Callithrix jacchus: one gene and its partners. Each later gene encodes a partner of the first gene's protein in a complex. Links are inferred from orthologs where the notes say so. Each region holds a gene or a part of one and is shown on either strand. Other genes may lie near its edges. The genes, in order: FLCN, FNIP1, LAMTOR2 and LAMTOR5.

Region 1 (3,563 bases):
TTATAGTGCCAATCATGTTTCTAGGCATGTGCAGATGGCAAGGGCAGTGTCTTGGGGAACTTTCTAGCTCAAAGAGCCAGAGCTGTCGAAGCCTTTGTGAGAACTTGGAAGTGGGTGTGCGGGGTATGTGCAGTGTGGGGTTTCAGGCTCAAGGCTTGCCCTTTGGACTCAGGCCTGGCTTCGCATTCTGGCTCTGCTTCTCACGTGCACCCTTCCCTTTGGGTTTCATGATGTGAAATGGAGATGTGGTCATTTGTGAGGGCTCCATGAAGGTTCATTGAAATGACAAATACCCATTTCTTTATCTGTGAAATGGAGGTAATAGTGCTGACCTGACCTCAGCACAATTGAGAGGACTAAATGAAATGATGTTGGATGCAGCCATAAAGAAGAATGAAATTAGGCATTGGTGCACACCTGGAGTCCCAGCACTTGGGAGACTGAGACAGGTGATGGCTTGAGCTCAGGAGTTTGATACCAGCCTAAGCAACATAGCGAGGTCCAGCCTCTACAAAAAATATGAAAAGTAGTTGGGCGTGATGGTGCATGACTGGACTCCCAGCTGCTTGGAAGGCTTAGTTGGGAGGATCACTTGAGCCCAGAAGATTGAGACTGCAGTGAGCCGTGATTGTGCCACTGCATTCTAGCCTGGGCAATAGAGTGAGACCCTGTCTCAAATAAAAAGATGGGAATAGTAGACACCAGGGACTCCAGAAGGAGGGAGGGAGGGAGGGGACCAAGGGCTGAAATACTTTCTATTGGATACTGTCTGGGTATATTACTTCTTGTGGTTCACTCTTTGGGTGACAGGATCAATAGCAGCCCAAACTTCAGCACCACCCAGCGTACCTTTGTAACAAAACTACACCTGTACCCCCTCAATCTAAAATGAAAGTGGAAAAAAATAAAAACGATTTGTAGATCGTTGAGAACTGTGGCCGACTGGATGTGTTCAGAAGACACACTGTTGGCATTTTTCACTAGTTTGAGTTTTCTCACCAGCAAAGAATAGCTGATGGTCTTTCTGTAAGTGTTTCTAAGATGGACGTGTGGTGCCCTGGGCTAAGCAGACAGCAACTGAGCCCTCCCTCCCGGCACAGGGCTCCCAGAGCAACAGGGAACATGGGACCTGGCCACAGCTAGGAATCTACACTGACCAGTTCAGCCCACGAGGTGCCTTGGGCTGTAGTCACAGGTTTGTATCTGTAACTGTCCTTGTTGTCTGTCTTGCAGATTTAGAAGAGGAATCAGAAACCTGGGACAACTCTGAAGCTGAAGAGGAGGAGAAAGCCCCTGTGTTGCCAGAGGGTGCAGAAGGGCGGGAGCTGACCCAGGGCCCGGCAGAGTCCTCCTGTCTTTCAGGCTGTGGGAGCTGGCAGCCCCGGAAGCTGCCAGTCTTCAAGTCCCTCCGGCACATGAGGCAGGTAGGTGGCAGGGACAAAAAGCATCAGGAGCTCAGGAGGAGAGCAAAACCGTCCCCACCCACATGCCTTACCTCTGGGCTCTCCATCTTCAAAACCCTGTGGGAAGTGACTGACAGCCTCTCGATTGATGGCTGAGGGCACAGGGTGTCGGGAGTATTAGCCGTAAGATCAGTGCTCCCCCTTCAGTGATGACCTAAGTATCTTCAAAGAAAGGCCAAATAGTTGGCATCCCATGGTCCCTCTGATCCTCTGAGAACCTCCAGGAGGCAGTGAACAGCACTATTATTGGTTTGGGTGCAGCCAGGACCCTGCTGATTGAAAGTGAGGTCATTCTTACAAAAAAATTAGGAAGAACCTGAGTATCAAACCATTGTAGTAAATGGTAGCCAAACCGTGGAATATGATTAATTAGAAGAAATAAAGCAGGCAGCGTGTGTTTAGGGTGATATATGCACATGTGTGCCTGCCGGACATAACAGAATTGGAGGAGTAGGTGTGGGTTGCTCCATTGCAGGGGCAGGCTATGTCCTTGATAAGATTCTTCTGGCCGGGCACGGTGGCTCACACCTGTAATCCCAGCACTTTGGGAGGCCAAGGCAGGCGGGTCACCTGAGGTCAGGTGTTTGGGATCAGCCTGATCAACAGAGAGAAACCCCATCTCTACTAAAAATAGAAAATTAGCTGGATGTGTTGGTACATGTCTGTAACCCCAGCTACTTGAGAGGCTGAGTTACAGTGAGCCAGGATCATACCATTGCATTCTAGCCTGGGTGACAGGAGCAATCTCTCTCAAAAAAAAAAAAAAAATATCTTCTGTATTTATTTTTCCAATGAGTACTGATTCATCAGAAGGGTGTTATTTGTTTTGGAAAATGGAGTAAGACTGATTTCATGGCAGATGCCCTTGGGGCTTCTGGATGAAAACACTCAATCCATTAAAATCCTACATTCGGCTGAAACCTTCCTTGTCAATTTCTTGCGTAGATGAAGGTTGGAAGGTGTGTGGAATTCCTCTGGAGGTGCGACTGCTTTGAGGCTCTGAGGATTTGGTGAAATGTGGTATTGTGGCCTCTCTCTTAGGTTTTGTTTCAAAGCCGTGTTTGGCTTCTTAGAAGCAGTGAGACAACAGGCTGGACTCTCCTAAGGTGTCAGTGTCGTGGAAGCTAATAAAAGGTGGGGTCTGGAGAGAGGCTGTTCTAGGTTAAAGAATAAGGACATGATAACTAAAGGCAGTCACGGTGCTATAGTAGCTCCTGGATCAAAAGAACAGCAGCTGCCAAGCAGGCAAGGGCCCTGGGCTTGTGCACATGGCTGGATGTCAGGTGTGTCCATCGTGGTCTCACCATGATGGGCTCCAGTCATGGAGCCATCATGTCTCAGCTGTGGTGACATCCTTGTTCTGGGTGCCGCCGGTAGAGGGCCCTACAGCCTGCTTTCAAATGCTTCGGCAAAAAGTGTCTGTAAAGGCTGGGCGCGGTGGCTCAAGCCTGTAATCCCAGCACTTTGGGAGGCTGAGGCGGGTGGATCACGAGGTCAAGAGATCGAGACCATCCTGGTCAACATGGTGAAACCCCGTTTCTACTAAAAATACAAAAATTAGCTGGGCATGGTGGTGCGTGCCTGTAATCCCAGCTACTCAGGAGGCTGAGACAGGAGAATTGCTTGAACCCAGAAGTGGGAGGTTGTGGTGAGCCGAGATCGTGCCATTGCACTCCAGTCTGGGTAACGAGTGAAACTCCATCTCAAAAAAAAAAAAGTGTCTGTAAAGAGAAGGTGAATAAATATTGCAGGAAGTTAACATCTTTTTGCTTCAAGTTTTTAAAAACAAAATTGGGAGGAAGATCTTGGAGCAAGAGCTTTGGAATCTGGCTTTTAAGTGCAAACCTGGAACTTCTGTCTCTCCCCATTTAACCCTGGGCTGGGCACCGCCTCCCTGAGAAGATAAGTGACTTTCTCCTGAACCTGTCTTTGTTCTATAACATTTTATGAACACAAATCAATAACTTCATGGGAAGGGAGAGGAAAACCATTTCTCCTAGTCATGCTGAAAGCACTGCATTCTCTTGTTTAGGTCCTGGGCGCCCCGTCTTTCCGCATGCTGGCCTGGCACGTTCTCATGGGGAACCAGGTGATCTGGAA
Region 2 (3,563 bases), on another chromosome or scaffold:
AAATAATAAAAATAAAAAGGGGGCTGGGCACAGGGGCTTACACCTGTAATCCCAGCACTTTGGAAGGCCAAAGCAGAAGGATTATCTGAGATCGGAAGTTTAAGACCAGCCTGACCAACATGGAGAAACTCTGTCTCTACTAAAAATACAAAATAATACAAAATTAGCCGGGTGTGGTGGCACATGGTGCATGCCTGTAATCCCAGCTACTCGGGAGGCTGAGGCAGAAGAATCACTTGAACCCAGGAGGCAGAGGTTGCAGTGAGCTGAGATTGCGCCATTGCACGCCAGCCTGCATAACAAGAGTGAAACACCATCTCAAAAATAATTAAGTAAATAAATAGGGTTTATCCATCTAATAAAGGGCATTACAAGAACCTTACAGCTAACATCACACTTAATCATGAAAGATGCAACGTCTTCTCCTAAGATCATGAATAAGGCAATGATGTCCATGGTCACCATTTCCATGCAACATTCTATTTAAAGTTCTAGCCAGTACAATGAATCAAAAAAAAAAAAAAAAAAAAAGTTGGGGGCAGGAGGGACAAAAGCATCCAGATTGTTAAGAAAGATTTAAAACTATCTGTTCACTGATAACATGAGCCTGTATGTAGGAAACCTTAGGGAATCTATACAGAAAAACTGAATAGACTAATATGAGTTCAGAAAGGCCACAGGATATAGGATCAATACGCAAAAGCCAACCCCACTTCTATATGTAAGCAATGAACAATCTGAAAGGGAAATTAAGAAAATAATTCCATTCAAACTTAAGCACCTATAAATTTCTGATACTGTAAATAACCTAGCTGATGAACATCCATGAATACATAAAGTACTTTCTGTATTTCTGATATCCATGTGGATAAATTTCTGAAACTTTATTTGCTCTCACAGTGACAGTAAGATAACAGACACTGAATATAAAGTAATGAAATCAGAGAATAAGGATTGTGTTGTAAAAGTATGACCAAAAATATAAGGCAATTTTGGGTTCTGCTGCTTAACATAGTTTGTTCTAAATAAACTCAAGACCAGTGAAGGTCACTTACCTGCACAGCATGAGACAAATCTGACATCAGACACTGACGGAACCTCTCATCACTCCCAATTCCTTGAAGAACAAAGTCAGGCACATAAGATGAGCAGTAGCCACCCAGCAAGGACCTCCCAAAATTGGCAATGTTGGGCTGAACAGCACTCACTTCAATTAACTTTGACCTGGAAGAAAAGTACCCCCCAAAGACATCTAATTAATAATAAACTTTTTTAACCAGTTAAAAAAAGAATTGTGAACTCTACTAGTCCACATTTTATACTAGTCTGTATTAATATAAAGAGTAAAATCATCCTTATATAATGGTAATGGTAAAATTCAAGAGTAAACTGGTAATAATAGTAAAATCAAGAGTATAATCATCCTTATTTAAAAACTTGCTCAAGTGCTCTATCAGAAAACAAAACACTTCTTATCAAGATGAGAAGGTCTGAGGAACAACTCAGTAATGAAGTGAGAATTAATCTTTTGTAACAGACTTTAAGAGAGCTGTCCCCTAAGTTTGTAACACATTCTTAATACAATCATCTAAAACAAAGTAATTAAATGCTTCACAAGTCCAAAGGTGGGTATGTAACATTTCTCAAGCATGAATCTTTTTACATACTTAACTGAAAATATACATTCTGTTTTCTTCTTAGTTTTGGCCAAACATATTTCAAACAGCCATCTAACATCTCAAGGATTAGTGCTCTCTGCCAGGCTCAGCATATGTCCTTTTGGGGGGCATAATTCACTCCTAAATGGCTTGAAACCTTCTAAGCAGTAAGAAATCATAACCAGATCCTTTAACTTTTCTCTGAGGTCTTCATAAAACCTTTCTGAGGTGTTTCTGGAACTCAGGCTTTAATCTTTTTTATGAGTTAAGAGAATATGAAAATAAGAGAAATCTATCTAGGACAATGATCTCTTCTTTTATACCAACCTTCAGAGAACAGCTAAACAAAAGTATGGTACATATTTATATAGGGCCCATTATAGGTGAAAACTTCCTACGTACCCAGGAAATGGTATTTCATCCTCTTCTGCCCAGTCTTCTTGCTCTCCTCCATAATAACTGCTAACTTGCCTAGTCATATCATGACCTGTATCTTCACTTTCACTATCCCCAAGGGCACTATCTGAACTTTCATTTCTTGGAATGTCCCATTCAGTTCCTATGGCAATTTTTTTGTCTGAACTCTCTTTATCCCCATGGGGGACAAGAATGGAGAGTGTATCTCTTTGGTCCTGCTGAGGAAAGCAGGTTTTACATGAATCTTGGGGAACTGCTTGTATACATTTACAAAATTCATTGTTTTGTTTGTTATTTTTTGTACACAATATTTTTGAAAACTCTAACATACAGCAATGGTCTTTACTATCTGTACTTGTTTTAATTGGAACATCATCAATAGTCCTGGTTTCAATTGAATCATCATTAAAATATTCATCAAATAAGCTCATGCTTTCTGGGTCTGAATGATTCCAACAGGGAAGTTCGCAGGGCTCTTCAGAAACCATGTTCTGTATATCAGACTCTCCAGATTGGTCCTTAGTTGTCTGTTTAGTTTCTTGATGCTGATCAATAGCCCCTCTTTCTTTCTTCAGTGGTTTGGTGTGATGCCTGGTAATCTGATCCACCACTGCCTGACTTCGAAGCTCAGTATCTGAATCAGGTGACATAGAATCCCCAATCAGGAAAGTAACCTTTGTGTGGGCAGCCTCACAAGAAAATGAAGCAGACACAATCTTATCTGGAGGTTTCTTTTCCACAACCATTCCTGTGGATCTCATTGCTTTGCTTGTGTGACTATCTGAATCCAGCAACTTCTCACTCTGCCATGTTTCCTCTGTTGGCTCTAAGCCTGACTCTGACAATGAACATTTGTCTACTGGAACAGATCCTGTGCAAACAACTGTCTCTAACTTGGTGTCAAGGCAAGTTCTTAATTTATCTCTGTACTGTTTAACATCAACAGCATTTTCTTCTTGGCAGTCAGAAGGAGAAATCACCCGGCACTCATCTGAAATTCCTAAAAGCTCCTTAGAGCTGTTTTGAATATCTTCTCTCTCTTGTTGAGAAATGTTCTCTACATTTTGCCCAAGGAGTGGACGACTGCAATATTTACAGTTACAATTAGAAGTTCTTACTTCCGACTCTTTAAAGAGCAAACTGCTTTTGTTTCTATGCATTGTGACAAGGACATACTCTGATTCTTCTATTTCACCTTTCTCTAAAGTGGTAGTAATAACTGTGCCTGGCATAACGATGGCTTCATCTTCTCCATTTTCTAAAAGATGTGTTTCTTGAAGTTCAGAGCATCTTATAAAATAAGTAAGAAAATAAAGTAGCCTCTGGACCATATCTTGTCGTTTGCCAACCACCACAGTCCTTGCTAACCGTACAGGAGAGCCGATAGCACCGTACAAGTCTCCTGTAATAAAAAAAACTCAGTTATTAAGCACATCCTTTACTGACCCAGCTAAGTAGGCTGTTTTTAATGATCAGAAACCTACTCTT
Region 3 (4,345 bases), on another chromosome or scaffold:
TTTTTATGTGTGTGTGTGTGTGTGTATATATATATAGATATATTTTAGATTGAGTTTCACTCTTGTTGCCCAAGCTAGAGTGCAATGGTGTGATCTTGGCTCACTGCAACTTCCACCTCCCAGGTTCAAGTGATTCTCCTGCCTCAGCCTCCTGAGTAGCTGGGATTACAGGCGCATGCCACTACACCTGGCTAATTTTTTGTATTTTTAGTAGAAATGGGGTTCCACCATGTTAGCCAGGCTGGTCTTGAATTCCTGACCTCAGGTGATCTGCCAGTGTCGGCCTCCCAGAGTGCTGGAATTACAGGTGTGGGCCACTGCACCCGGTCTAATTTTTGTATTTTTAGTAGAAATGGGGTTTCACCAGGTTGGACAGGCTGGTCTCAAACTCCTGACCTCATGATCTGCCTGCCTCGCCTTCCCAAAGTGTTGGGATTACAGGCGTGAGCCACAGTGCCTGGCCCCTTAAAATGTATTTCTTATGGCTTGGTTGTGGTCAAAACGTTTGAAAGCTATAGCACCAGCTCTAGGCATTCACTAAGCGTCATATGTTGAACTAAAATAGCATTGGTTGTGCAGGTGGCAGAAGAGAATAGCAGCTGGGTTACAATGAAGACCCTTCCTAGAGAGTTCACCCTCTGGCCGATATGGAAAAAAAAAAAAGTAAGTTCAACAAATTTTTACTAGGTATTCATTCTACGCGGGAAACCAAGCACTGCACTCTCTGCCTCTCTGACACCATCTCCTACCACCCTCCATTCATTTTCATGCAGCTCCAGCCATACCAACCAACTCTGTTGATCCTTGGGCAGGCACAATTCTGCCTCAAGGCCTTCGTGCTTGCTGTTCTGTCCAAAATATTCTTCCCCTAGATAGCCACATGGCTTGCCATGACCTTTCTTCAGATCTTTGATCAAATGTCACCTTTTCAGTGAGACTGTCTCTGACACATACACCCAACAAACTCATACTTTCACTTCCCTCCTTTCTTTACATTGCATTTTCTTTTCTTTTTTTTTTTTTTTTGATACGGAGTTTCGCTATTGTTACCCAGACTGGAGTGCAATGGCACGATCTCGGCTCACCGCAGCCTCCGCCTCCTGAGTTCAAGCAATTCTCCTACCTCAGCCTCCCAAGTAGCTGGGACTACAGGCGCGCGCTACCATGCCCAGCTAATTTTTGTATTTTTAGTAGACACAGGGTTTCACCTCTTTGACCAGGATGGTCTCGATCTCTTGACCTCGAGATCCACCTGCCTCAGCCTCCCAAAGTGCTGGGATTACAGGCGTGAGCCACTGCGCCCGGCCTTACATTGCATTTTCAATACCTAACATACTACATATTTTACTTATTTTAAATAATGTGGCCGGGCACAGTGGCTCATGCCTGTAATCCCAGCACTTTGGGAGGCTGAGGCAGGTGGATCACTTGAGCCAAGAGATCGAGACCAGCCCGGGCAACATGGCAAAACCCAATCTCTGCAAAAAATGCAAAAATTAGGGAGGTGTGGTAGTGGATGCTTGTACTTCCAGCTACTTAAGAGGCTGAGACAGGAAGATCACCTGAGCCCAGGGAGGTCGAGGCTGCAGTGAGCCATTATTGTATCACTGTTAAGATTTATTAGGGCTGGGGGTTTTGCCTTTCTGTTTGCTATTTTTTTCCCTAGTCCTGAGAACACTACAAGGACCTAAATACTTATTGACTAAACAGATACTAAGAGGTTCACAAGCTAACGGCAACTTCCCCTTTCTGGACTTCATTTTCCCTTGTTTGTAACCGTGAGGGGTTGGACTAGGGTCTGGAGACCACCATGGTTCTGTGAGTCGGCGAGGCTGGGATGACAACACTTCGTGTTTGCACATCGTTCTACTGTTTATACCCATTATTTCATCCGATCTTCACAACCATCCAGGAGGGGAGCGGGAAAAGGGAAATAGCTGCTTCCTCCTTAGACATGAGGTAAGGAAGCTGAGAGAGGTTAGGCGACTTACCCAAGGTTCCACAACTGATAAGTGGATGGCTGAAACCAGAACCCAAGTCAGACCTCTCAGGTCCAGGGCTCCTTCCTCACCACCATTTGATGAATAGGGTCCTGCCTATTACGAATGCTGCTGCAGACCAACTCTTAGTAATCTTCCGGAGACACTGTCCCTGCCCCTCCAACCATCCAGGATGGGGTCCGGGTCACCCCCTTGGGATCCCCTTGGGGGGCAGGGGAAGTCTGGCTTCCCTCTCCATACCATGCAGTCCATGAGGATGAATTTGAGATTGTCTTCATTAAACGCTTGGTTCCCATTCCGGTCGTAGGCGGCCCAGATGTTACTGGCTATGGCCGCAGTGACCCGAGCGTCAGTGTCCCCGTAACCCGAGTAGGCCAGCAGTGATCCCTCGTTATTCAGCAGCCTGGTGAGGGGCGGGGAAGGATAACGTTGTGCCCAGGACAGAGAGTAAAACGCCTGGGTTTCCAGCCCAAGTCCCACCACTAGCACAGCCAGCAAGGGTCTGGGCTTAGTGTGTCCTGGAACGCGCCCTAAGCACCCAGCACACCGGCTTCCCTTTTCGAGAGGGTATCTACTGGCCAGCACTCCCAGCCGCTGCCCGCTCTGCCGCCTCCTCCCTTCCCGGCGATCCTTCCCCACCCCTCCCTCAGGGAGCCGCGCGCAGCCCAACTACGGGGCTGGCCGCTCGGGTCCGTGGTCCGCACTCACAGGGTGCTCTGGACTCCTCCAGTGTTGGCTTGGCTTAGCACCTGGGTTAAAGCCTTGGGGCGCAACATGCCTACGGCTTCTAACCCTGGGCTTTTGCACCCAGATCCTCCGAGGTGCCTCCCGCGAGCCGCTGACTTCTGCTTCCCGTAGTCCCGTGGCCTGCTTCCAAACGCCCTGGGAGTTGTAGTTTCCTCGCCTGGTTATTGTAGTTCCGACTCAACTCCCCACCCCGCCGCGGGCGGCTCTGGGAATCGTAGTTCCTTGTGGCCTCGCGAGGCACCCTGGGAACTATAGTTCGCCTTTCCAGGCTGACCACGCGGTTGCGGGGGGCAAAAAGAGCGGGAGTGGAAGGACAGTGGCAGCACTGGAAGGACATTTAACTCCTTCGGGGAGAAAGGAGTCAACGTGTCCGCTTGGCAGTCCACGATTCAATAATTAGACTACATCCTTATATTTGTCAGGCATGCCTTTGGTTACTTTCAAAACAGTTTTCTCCGTTATGCACAATTTTGTGCGATGAGGCGAGGGGAACTGTTACTATTATCTTGAGAAAACCAAGGCTCAGAAAGGCCACGCAGCCAAAACCCAACTCCCTGGAACCATTCTTAATAGACCAGTTAGGCCGTGACCCTCGGAGCTATAGGGTCAGTCCCAGAGCTAAGATCCTAAGGACTTAACTTGGTGGGAAAACCCAACCTCCAGGTCGGGAAAGGCCCCTGGCCTGGAAAGGACTTTGGGCTTCCAAGAAAGACCAAGTTATTACAGGGAATGGAGATAAAGCGGCGACACAGAAAGTCCTTTGTCCCGGAGCGGAGTTAGACGCGGAGGGGGCGGGGAAGCTTTGGGCTGGAAGGGACCGCGGCACGGCTCTGGCGGGCAGCGTTGGGCCTCTGTCTCCCCGAGGAGTCCGTCCCCGCCCCCGCAGTGAAGGGCACGCCCCTCCCCATGCCCAGAGCGCCCCCCAGGGGCCCCAGCCTGGCGAGCCCCGGGCCTGGCTCCGGACCCGGGGCTCGGCCCTGGGCGGAACCCGCTGCAGTGGCCCCCCCGGTCCGCCCGGGGCGCTGTGGCTGCGGCTGGTCCGGAGGGGGCGGTGAAGCCTCGGGGAGGGGAGGAGAGAGGAGGGGAGGAAGGGGAGAGGTGGAGAGAGGGGAGTGTTGGAGGCGCTGGAGCCGAGCCGGGCTGGCCGGGCGGGCGGGGAGGAGGAGGAGCTGGACGGGCTGGCGGGCGGCCGGGTGGCGGCGGCGGCGGCATGGCGGAGCCGAGCGGGGCCGAGACGAGGCCCCCCATTCGGGTCACCGTCAAGACCCCCAAGGACAAGGAGGAAATTGTAATCTGCGATCGAGCCTCGGTCAAGGAGGTAGTACGGCTGGCGGGGGGCGGAGGGAGCGCGGAGGAGGGGTCTGTGAAGAGATGGGGGGCCCTCCCTGAGGTTCTGGCGTCCCGGAGGGCCCCGGAGAGGAGGGCGAGGGCCAGCTGGGACTCCGTGGAGCTGGAGGAAGGGAGAGGCGGGTAGGGGGCGCCCTGCGAGGGGAGATCTAGGGGAGCGTGGCGCGTGTTGAGGGGCGGGTTTTGCCGTGTGGCCTGGGCTGGGGGCGTGGTGGAGAGTGAGGAGGGGACACTTTGCACCGGGAAGAGGG
Region 4 (4,049 bases), on another chromosome or scaffold:
GACCAGCCTGGCCAACATGGTGAAACCCCATCTCTACTAAAAATACAAAAATTAGTCAGGCATGGTGGTGGGCCCCTATAATTCCAGATACTCAGGAGGCTGAGGCAGGAGAATAGCTTGAACCTGGGAAGTGGAGGTTGCAGTGAGCCGAGACTGTGTCACTGCACTCCAGCCTGGGCAACAGAGCAAGACTCCATCTCTGTAAAAAAAAAAAAAATCACGAGTAAGAGGCCTCAGGGCCAAAAACCCTAGCTTACCCACTTATTTAACCTCCGTGTCTAAGTTTCTCTTTTTAATTTTTTTTTTTTTTGAGACAGAATCTTGCTCTTGTTGCCAGTCTGGAGTACAACAGCACGATCTTGGCTCACTGCAACCTCTGCCTCCCAGGTTCAAGCGATTCTCCTGCCTCAGTCTCCTGAGTAGCTGGGATTACTGGCACCTGCCACAACGAGCCTAATTTTTTTTTTGTATTTTTAGTAGAGATGGGTTTTCACCATGTTGGCCAGGCTAGCCTGGAACTCCTGACTTCAGGTGATCCACTTGTCCCCACCCCCACCTCCCAAAAGTGCTGGGATTACAGGTATGAGCCATGGCATCTGGCCTTTTTAAATTTAAAAAACAATAAAATAGAGATGGGGGAGGTCTCACTGTGTTGCACAGGCTGGTCTTGAACTCCTGGGCTCAAGTGATCTGCCCACCATGGCCTCCCGACCTCCCAAAGTGCTGGGATTACAGGTATGAGCCACAGCATCTGGCCTTTAAAAATTTTAAAAACATATATATAAAATAGAGATGGGGGGTGGTTTCACTGTGTTGCACAGGCTGGTCTTGAACTCCTGGGCTCAGTGATCTGCCTGCCTTGGCCTCCCAAACTGCTGGGATTACAGATGTGAGCCACTGCGCCTGGCCCCTCCACTTCTTTTTCTACCTCACAGGGTTGTTTTAAGGAATAAAAGAGTTAGTATATGTAAAGGACTTACAATGGTGCTTGGTATATAACAAAAGCTCAATAAATGTAATTCTAATGATTACCATTATTAAATAACAACCTAGTGAAGAAAATGAAGCCCTAAAAGGTAGTTTTTGGTCCACGTTCATACTGCCAGCAAATCAAAAAGTAAGGGACTGAGCCCAGGTATGTCCAACACTGAAACCCCATTTTACTGCCTATTCACTTCTTGTTTAGTGTAGTTGAGCTTAAAAATAGGACACCATCCACTCTGCGGGGTTGCTGTGAAAATTAAAGGCAGTGTATTTAGAACCTAGCAGTCTCAGCATATGGCATACATTCAATAAATGGTTAACAGCTGTCATTCTCTCAAGTCCTTTCTAGACTTCATTTAACATGATTCAAATACCATTTTTAGTAAAGACAACTACTTAGTGCTATAGAACAGCAGGGAACATCCTCCTTCATAAATACCAACTGAAACTTTCAATTTTCTGATACTGTTATTTGGAGATAATCTCTACTCTCAGAAACTCAGAAAGAACCGGCAAGGTAACAGAACATAAAAGCTAGAAAACAAAACCACGCTAGGCTCCAAGTCAACAGCAGATGCTACGGAATTCATCACACGGCATGAGAGATACTTACAACCCAGATTAAGTCCTTGTGAATCTGTGCACAGGACTCCAACAATGGAGGGATTCTTCATTCTAATTTCAGGAACACAGAGAGTTGAAGCAGATAATGGGAGAAAAAGGATTTGAGCATACACGTGCTCTATGTACCAGACATTAAGTGCTTTAAATCAATGTTTCTCAATCTTTTTTCATTATCACACTCTAAGAAAAAAATTATTCTAATTAATTAATTTAAATAAACCAGTTTTTTCTCTCATGAGAGAGAAAAAACTGCTAAGTACTGTTGAGTTTTGGAGGGCCACAAACACTGCAATATCTAGGATGTTTTCACTCTTGTTAAAAATGCATGCTTTAGTACTAACTCATTTAAAACTGTTGAAAACCTCTTAAATCGCCTCCTGGAGGGTAAATGGAAGCTGAGGGACATCGTTGGGAGGCCAGGTGTCTCTGTACCCTTTATACTTTTCCAGTTTCGAATTTTACATAAATACTGCTTGTTCGAAAAATTTAAAGGATGACTTTGATCTACGTAAGTACCAAGTAACTGACAGGATACACACAGGAGATAAATGTTTGTTTACACTGCAGGGCTTGACTGTGCACAACTGGCACAACCTTCCCCAAAGTTAACCCCTTTCCTAAACCTCCCGCAGAACAACCCTGACCGTAAAGACGATTTCAACAACGAGATAAGCAGTTTTGGCCGTAGCCTGAGCCCAGGAGACTCGCTCAAGAGGGGATGTGCGGTGCCCGGCAGAATTTTAATTCCGGGTCACCAGTCCCGCCCTGCGGCCCTCGGGTAGGGCTCAGCTCCCTCATCCCTTGTCCTGGGGGTAGCGCGACGTCCCCGAGACGCCCTGGCAGGCACTCGCAGCTCGCGCCTTTTGTCCCGCTCAAGTTCCTCCGCCGCGACTTCAGGACGGGCCGAAGAGGCGCGCACTACTCACGTGTCTTCCAAGTGCTGCTCCAAGGTCGCCTCCATCCCACCCACCGTCCACCCCGGCCCAGAACCCAGCGGCACGCCGCGTCCGACTCCACCACAGGCCTCAGTCACTTGACGCGAGCGGGGCGTGGACCGGAACGGCGCCTCCAAAGGGACAAAATTGATCACGGCGCAACGTCCGCGTTTTTTACTGGAAAACATCACTGCGCTTCCGCCGCACAGAGCCTGGCGAAGGTGACAGTCGGTGACCCGCGCGTGGCTCCCCAGCGGAATGATTTCCCTCTCAGGAGCGAGGTCTGTAGCCGAGCTTCAGTGCCTCAGTTCCTGGCCTGGCATTTTGTGTCAGTGTTTTTTAACCTCTGGACTCTGATTCAACCGACTCTGAGACCTAGGGGCCAGACGTTCTGTTTTACAGTAACCCAGGGGTCAGACAGGGCCTGATCTAGCCTGTGGGGCAGGTACGAAGGGGACCTCTGGGAGCGGGTCCATAGGCTTGTAGGGGGAAAGACTCAGAGGACTAAAGGACTAGAGGGAGCGAGGTTCAACCCCCAGCTGTGTTGGCAAAGTGTTGGGATTTTAGCGAAGACACTGGTGCTTATTATGGTGAGGGGACTCAGGTCAGTTTAGGGAAAGAGAGTGGCATCTGAGTCCTAACTTGTAAGGAAGACTAGGTAGGACTACTTAAAAATTACTTTAAAAAATTAATTATAGGCCGGGCGCTGTGGCTCACGCCTGTAATCCCAACTCTTAGGGAGGCAGAGGCGGGAGGCTAGCTTGAGCCCAGGAGTTCGAGATCTGCCTGGGCAATATAGCGAGACCCCGTTCTCCACAAAAAGGAAAAAAACAAAAAGACAAAAATAATTAATTATAAAAGTGATAAAAATAGAAAACACTTATGGTCCCACTGTCCAAAGATGACTTTTAATCCCTTTGAGAGTATCCTTTCAGATAGTGGTCTTTGCAAATGGACACTTTTAATGTTTTTTTGTTTGCCTTTTTAAAATAACTTTTTTGGGGACAGGATCTTGCTCTGTCACACAGGCCAGAGTGCACTGGCATGATTATAGCTCATTGCAACCCTGACGTCCAGAGTTCAAGCTATCCTCCCCTCTTAGCCTCTTGACTGGCTAGGGCCACAGCCTTGAGCCACCATGGCTGGCTAATTTTTACATTTTTTTGTAGAGATGGGGGTCTTGCTGTGTTATCCAGGCTGGTCTCAAACTCCTTGCCTCAAAAGATCCTCCCACTGCAGCTTCCCAAAATGTGATTACAGGCTGACTCACCATATCCATGTTTTTTTTTTCTTTTGTAAGCAAAATTGACATATATATTGGAGGTACAATTCTGTATCTGGCCTTCTTCACAGAGTTTAGAATAAATGTCTTTCCATGTCAAGTTTTCACTTACGTCCTTCGTAATAGTTGCAGAATATTCCATTTATAGCTGTATCCTAATTGTGGATTAAGGCTGGAGTGCAGTGGCGTTATCATGGCTTAGTGCAGCGATGCTGTCATGGATT

What was found.
Region 2: FLCN (region 1) and FNIP1 share a complex: the UniProt entries of both Homo sapiens proteins name them as parts of the lysosomal folliculin complex. The link is inferred for Callithrix jacchus from reciprocal best matches to the Homo sapiens genes FLCN and FNIP1.
Region 3: FLCN (region 1) and LAMTOR2 share a complex: the UniProt entries of both Homo sapiens proteins name them as parts of the lysosomal folliculin complex. The link is inferred for Callithrix jacchus from reciprocal best matches to the Homo sapiens genes FLCN and LAMTOR2.
Region 4: FLCN (region 1) and LAMTOR5 share a complex: the UniProt entries of both Homo sapiens proteins name them as parts of the lysosomal folliculin complex. The link is inferred for Callithrix jacchus from reciprocal best matches to the Homo sapiens genes FLCN and LAMTOR5.

Annotation. Positions count from the first base shown.
Region 1 is NC_133506.1:62,344,325-62,347,887, reverse strand, and holds part of FLCN (folliculin), read left to right. Parts: intron 1-1,233; coding exon 1,234-1,424; intron 1,425-3,495; coding exon 3,496-3,563. UniProt on the Homo sapiens protein: Multi-functional protein, involved in both the cellular response to amino acid availability and in the regulation of glycolysis.
Region 2 is NC_133503.1:76,995,593-76,999,155, reverse strand, and holds part of FNIP1 (folliculin-interacting protein 1), read right to left. Parts: intron 3,478-3,563; coding exon 2,061-3,477; intron 1,225-2,060; coding exon 1,056-1,224; intron 1-1,055. UniProt on the Homo sapiens protein: Binding partner of the GTPase-activating protein FLCN: involved in the cellular response to amino acid availability by regulating the non-canonical mTORC1 signaling cascade controlling the MiT/TFE factors TFEB and TFE3.
Region 3 is NC_133519.1:16,441,219-16,445,563, reverse strand, and holds the start of LAMTOR2 (ragulator complex protein LAMTOR2), read right to left. Parts: upstream 2,838-4,345; 5' UTR 2,777-2,837; coding exon 2,709-2,776; intron 2,404-2,708; coding exon 2,241-2,403; intron 1-2,240. Other genes in the region: UBQLN4 (ubiquilin-4), read left to right, coding at 3,654-4,065. UniProt on the Homo sapiens protein: As part of the Ragulator complex it is involved in amino acid sensing and activation of mTORC1, a signaling complex promoting cell growth in response to growth factors, energy levels, and amino acids.
Region 4 is NC_133508.1:148,257,610-148,261,658, forward strand, and holds the start of LAMTOR5 (ragulator complex protein LAMTOR5), read right to left. Parts: upstream 2,857-4,049; 5' UTR 2,732-2,856; coding exon 2,535-2,731; intron 1,660-2,534; coding exon 1,598-1,659; intron 1-1,597. UniProt on the Homo sapiens protein: As part of the Ragulator complex it is involved in amino acid sensing and activation of mTORC1, a signaling complex promoting cell growth in response to growth factors, energy levels, and amino acids.